Linked DNA regions of Oryctolagus cuniculus. The protein of the gene in region 2 interacts with the protein of the main gene of each other region in a pairwise test. Links are inferred from orthologs where the notes say so. Each region holds a gene or a part of one and is shown on either strand. Other genes may lie near its edges.

Region 1 (3,755 bases), on a different chromosome or scaffold from region 2:
ATCCTTCTTCTTCCCAGGGAGCTCCTCTCAGGATTTAAGCAATAAAACCTGACTACTGCATGTCCTCTGATTCTCCTCCGTTCTCCGCTCTTTCACCACACTCCCTTCCCCGGCCACAAATGCTGTTACCCAGATCTCCCTGAACCTTTCTCTACATACACAACTTTTTTTTTTTGCGGGGGGGGGGGGGGGGACATTAATATTCCATTTCAACCAAGCTGGCAGTTCTAATTCATCCTGGATGTTAGCTAAAGCAAACTTCTCTTTTCAAAAACAACAGTCAGCTTCCAGTCATCCTCCATGTCATCTCCATTCAGATCCTGAGAGCCTGTGTCTCTCAGTCACTCCCCAAAACCTCAATTCTAACCACAGGCTCTTTTCTGAGGGGGGTGGCAGCTAAACTGAGTCCATCCTGTTACTCCTTGGAGGAAGTGGCGTCTACTGCCCCTGGGCCTCAGTTTCCTTGCCTACTAACAAGGAGAAAATGTTTTGCCAAATTTACCAGGCTGTTTGAAGTTCAAGGTGAGGTCGTACAATCGTTAAGTGTTTCAACAGAAAAAGGCTCTAGGAAAACACATGCTAGCATAAGCATAGGAGCCAACCTGAAAAAAACCCCAATGGACTCATCGACAACATTTCGCCTAGCAAAATAAAGCAGTATGGGATTATAACCCATGAGTCCACACTCATATAAATGAGTGAATAAGTTAATAAACACGGAAGAAGGAGACCAATCTCCCACCAGGATAATGCCTAATAATGTATGTGGACACAGCCCTCAAGGAGGAGAGCACAGCTCCTACTCCTAAGGTGGGAGCTGCACACAGTGGCTTCATTCTAAGAGTACAGTATGCAAGAGGGGGGAACCCTTCATTCTTGCATCCAGGTGACCAAGTCCAACATCAAGCCCTAAGTCATGCTGATGGTGTGTACCCCTGATATGACCTGGGGAAAACGGCAAACTGCCTCTGTGGTATTCCTCCTCTACACCTCATGAAGCAAAGTCTTAGGGAAAAAAAATTCAGACAAATTCCATCTACAATCTACATGATCAAACTGTCAAGGTCATCAAAACAAAGTCTGAGAAACTGCCACAACCAAAATGAACATGAGGAGATGCAGAACTGAACATAAAGTGGCAACCTGGACAGGCTCACGAAACAGAAAAAGTGCTTTTTAAGAAAAAAAAAAAAAAAACTAAGGAAATACGAATTCACTGAGGACTCTGGTCAGTAATAATGGTCATTGGTCCATTAATTGCAACAAATGCACCACACTGATGCAAGATGCTGCTAACAGGGGCAAGAGTCGTCGATACTTTATATGGGAACTCTGTACTGTCTTTTCAATTTTCCTAAAATCCAAAAACTGCTATAAAAATAAAGTCAATGTTTAATAAAATACTCTATTTTTAAAAATTGCAATTTGAAGACCATAAAAAATGTCCATTTTTTTCTAAGAGGTAATTTCTTTAAAACTTGGGGGTTAAATATGCTAGGGTTTATGATTTAAGCCAGCAGTTAAACAGAAGGTTCGGGTATGCTTGAACCAATGTCACTCTCCCCTCTCTTCAAACACACACGACTGGTTGCAGTGTCAGACACTGGAACCTACTGGTTATTTGGAAGTGTCTGCCTCTCGCTTACTCCACAAAGTTAAATTCATGCACTTATTTCTAAGGTCAGAGAGAGAATTCGCAGCTCTCAAGCCTATGTGGCTAAACCGGTTTATTCTGACGAAACAGAAAAAGGAAGGAAAGGCAAGAAAACCTGACTCTGACCACGGAGCCGGATTGGCCGCGTCTCTACCCGGCTCCGAGCAACCAGACCGCCATCCGGGCCCCGCTGACTTCTGGCTGTGGGGACTGGAACGCATACGCGCCCACACTGAGCCCTGGGAAGCAGAAAGGCCCGGGAGGGACCCGCAGATGCAGGGGCGGGCGAAGCGGCAGGGCTTGGGCCGGCGGGGAGGTGGCGGCGGGTCCGGCCCGCGCCCCAGCCCGCCGGGCGGCCTGGCCCCGCTCCGCCCCGGGGCCCAGCGGCCGCCCGGCCCTGAGCCGCGCTGGTCAGACCGCCGCCTCGCGGCAGTTCTCATCGGAGGCCGCCACTCACCAGTCCCGAGCTCCGGGTCGCGAATCCGGGGCTGGGGTCGCCTCTCTCCCGCGCCGGTACGTTCGGGGTCCCGCTCCTCCACGAGCCCCCGAGCGAGACAGCTCGTCCCCGCCCCGTAATCTCCCGGCTCTTCGAGGCCTTCCACCGAGATTTTTCCCGAGCGGCCCTGGGATTGGTCGCTGCCGAACTCCGTCTGCCAATGGGCACCTCGGTCTCCCCTACGTCACTGATCACTGGGCAAATCCCCAGGCGGTTGCGGGGGGGTGGAGCGGCAGGACTCGCGAAAAGGAAACCGAAATCCGGCGGGGCGGGGCTGCGCCGGAGCCGCCGCCGGAGTTTGAAGCGGAAGGCCGGTGCCGTTACAGGCTTGGAGGGAGCCAGATTCGGAGGCCTAATGAGACCCCTGCTTGGGACTCTGGGGTGCTAGATTCCCTCCCCTCCTCCCGAGACCCCCAGCTACTCTCGCGATCCCCACCCAGTGCTGGATCCGAGTCGGAGTGCATTTTGAGGTCACGTAACCTTCGCCAGGTGCTTAATATTAAATATCCTCCCACCCCCATCCCCAGAGCGGCCTCAATTTGCTTCCAGAACAAGGTAGCATCTTCGCCAGCGAATAGTCTCTTGGGCCTGTTTACAAAAATTAACCACCTCTGAAGCGCCCGTGACGAATGAGGCGCCTGAGGCAAAATGGCCTGAAGGCAAGCATTGCCCCCATCTGACAGAAAGGAAAGCCGAGGCTCCGAAAGCCTGGGGGGCCTTCCCGCGCCAGAGCGCCCGTGGTGTGTGGGAGGGCGGTTTCCAGGAGGCTCCGCGTCCCCGGCGCCCTCACCGCCTGGCACCGCCCTGACGGTGGCCTCGGCACGTTTTAGAACCTGTTCTGTAGTTGCTGTGGTGGAAGAAAGTGTGTGCTGCTAAGCGGCTCTCCGCCGGTGCTTGCCCCACCTACAGGCCGTTCTGTCACACTGCAGCCGTGGCGCTTCGTTCACCGGGCCTTCCTCCCCTGCCCCGCTTACACTTCTCCGCTGTCTTCCCCACACCCTTAGAGGGACACGGAAGGTGCCCGAAGGGCCCCCGGAAAGCCTGTGGAGGCTCTCTGACTCCCGCCTGCCACCACTCCCTCGGGGAGCTTTGAGCCACCCTGGTCCCAGAGCCTCCTTCTTGTCAGCCATGCACCTGCTCAACTGACCTGTCAGCCCTTCCTCCATCACCCAGTCTACATCAGGCCCCCCGTCGTGTTTTGATTTACTTTCTGCATACAGCTGTCAGCTTTCAAAGCATCTTGTTTATTCCTTTGTGAGCATGTTTATTTTCCATCCTCCTAAGCAGCATGGAAGTTGAAACATCACCCGTGTTCCTTAGCCGTGGTTGTCACTCAATGAATGAATGTTGAGTGAATGAACTCAGCGTGGGCGTTTCTGAATGCTGGCCTCAGCCTTGCTATTCCCTTGCCCAGAACACTATGTCTGGTTGACGCAGCTTCTCGGGTCCAAGTAAGGGCAACAGAAGTGGATGCTGGGAATGCAAGTGACTCCTAAGCTTGCTTTGTGCTCAGAGGCAGCACAGGGTGGTACTCGCCTCTCCAGCTGCTGGTGTTGCAAAACGGTGAAGGTGATCTCAGTTCTTGTCTCATGGCGAAGAAGAATT
Region 2 (2,404 bases):
CTTGGTATTTAAATGTGTCACCATTTTCTCTCTTTCTTGCTTACCATTTCTCCTTAAGTTGGAAAGTTTATTTCAGAAGGAAACTACTTGGATGTTTCTGTGCCACAGAATCACAAAAACGTCTTATTTCCTAACTTCCACAGATGAGTTGTTTTGCACTGTCATTTACTAAGTTCAGACATGCTGTTCTTCATTGTTCTAGAAGGAAGATGTGCTGGGCTCACAGGAGCAGCTGCCTCCAGCTCCTTTAACACCGCCCATCTCCCAGATGGATGCTGCTATTGGGTTGCTGATGCCTCCTCTGCAGACCCCTGACAACCTCTCGGTTTTCTGTGACCACAACTACACCGTGGAGGACACGATGCACCAGAGGAAAAGGATTCAGCAACTGGAACAGCAGGTCGAGAAACTCAGGAAGAAGCTCAAGACGGCACAGCAGCGATGCAGAAGACAAGAGCGGCAGCTTGAAAAGCTGAGGGAGGTCGTGCACTTCCAGAAGGAGAGAGACGACTCGTCGGAGAGAGGCTACGTGATTCTGCCAAGTGACTGCTTTGAGATAGTGGAAGTGCCGGCATGAGCAAGAGACATGCGTTGAGTTTTTAATGGGGCAACACCACACACCCTCTTTTAGCCTGTAAAGGAGTTTCCTTTGAAAAAAATAACACTTGATTATTTGTATAAAAGCAATTCAGAATATTTTTTTAAAAAAATAAATTAGATATATACTGTAAAATTGTAAGGTTTTTGTTTGTAATTTCAGGGTTTTTACATTTTAACAAAATATCTTTGAAGTTATAAACTAGCCTCAAACTGCCAATGTAAGTTGGTTTCAATATTGGGGATTTTTGTTTTCTAGAATATTTATAGAAATAATGTAAAAGTAAAAAAAATGAGAACAGTGCAGTAAGTTTTAAGTTTAAAAGTTAAAATTCATGCTGTTTATTGAGAAATTTAGTTATATTTTAAATCAAGAAGGATCAGATCACGGGCATAACGTCAAAAGATATATAAGTATATACATACCTATACTCACAGATTCTTACAGGTGAAGTCAGGAGGTTTCATTTACCATTCTGAGTCAGTTGTCAAATCAGCAAGTCAGTACTTGAAAAGACTTGAGTGTCTTTGCAGCAGAAAATGAACATCTACTTAATAAGTAACTTTATGAAGAACAGATTTTTTTAAAGTAGGCCTGTCTTTTTTCCCCACTGTTAAGCTAGAAGTGTGTCTTCAGTGAAGGAAAAATCCTTCAGTAAACAAAATGAGGCTTTGTTGTCAGTGAGTAGTAAAAGCTAGGGCCTGACCACGACGCTTGTTTCTGTAATGACCCCTAGGTAAAGGACAGCCAGCTCCCTCCTGAGGTGATATCTGTGTCCAAAGCTTTAACAAATGTGGTACTAGAGTTTGGTTTGTTTATATTAATTTTTCAGTAACATTGATTTTAGCCAAAACTTCACCAAAAAAATCATTTCTTCTAACAAGTTAGAAATTGTACCCCGTTTATCTGAATGAGTGATTTGTATTCAGAAGCAGCCTCATGTATGATGTTTATTTGCTGAATGTTGAGATTTAAACACTGAGGTTTCTGTTCAGACTGTGAGTTGTGTTCTGACTTTGTGAGAAATTTTACATATATTTGAAATGGAAATATGTTCTGAGTAAACAAATACTGCTAATAGAAGTAACCTACTTAGATTTAGAATAACTATTCCAACTCTGTCACTTTTATAAATGCACTGAGGTAGTTGAAGAGTAACAGACCTTTCAAGACAGTATTAAAATGTGGAACCATTTTGTGTCTTTTGTAGACCTCGTTTTCATTGTAATTCACTGCCACACTGCCATGGATAGTACTTTGATTCCTGATATTTTAGGAACCAGTGTCTCAAAATAGGAAATAATGATAAGAAGATTACGTGAAGTCACATAGTCTACTAGCAACATTTAGAACTAACTCAGTTGAATGCATGTTCACTGGTTATTTATGGAACTCGTAGCTGTTCATCTCTCTAGCAATTTCTGGAAGATACATGGGTAGATACTTTGCCAAGTATTTGTCTTCAACCTAAATTTTTGTCTTTCTACATGAAAGATTGTGTGTGTGTGTGTGTGTGTCCCCAGAACTGAGAATCCAGATTAGGATATAAAAGTATTAATCATAATTAGCATCTTAGACTTATTATTTAATCTGGAACTGCTTTCTTTTCATAACAGACTTAATTTTTCACTTGGAGAGAACTGAACAAGCAGCATGCACACCAACTGCTTCCGTTTAAATAATTTATCATAATTTAGCATAAGGAATTTGAGGTGCAGGCGCTTTTTTGTGATTCGAGATGTAACATTTGTTGAGTGTTTTAAAATTCATTTGATGTATTTTATTGTTTGTAACATTGCCAAGGAA

What was found. The genes of interacting proteins can lie anywhere in the genome.
Region 1: the proteins of THAP1 (region 2) and tripartite motif-containing protein 26 interact in binary tests that used the Homo sapiens proteins (3 or more experiments, as listed by UniProt). The two-hybrid records come from large-scale screens. The link is inferred for Oryctolagus cuniculus from reciprocal best matches to the Homo sapiens genes THAP1 and TRIM26.

The regions. Positions count from the first base shown.
Region 1 is NC_091436.1:140,249,634-140,253,388, reverse strand, and holds the start of tripartite motif-containing protein 26, read right to left. Parts: upstream 2,270-3,755; 5' UTR 2,112-2,269; intron 1-2,111.
Region 2 is NC_091433.1:92,915,024-92,917,427, reverse strand, and holds the end of THAP1 (THAP domain-containing protein 1), read left to right. Parts: intron 1-202; coding exon 203-577; 3' UTR 578-1,793; downstream 1,794-2,404. UniProt on the Homo sapiens protein: DNA-binding transcription regulator that regulates endothelial cell proliferation and G1/S cell-cycle progression.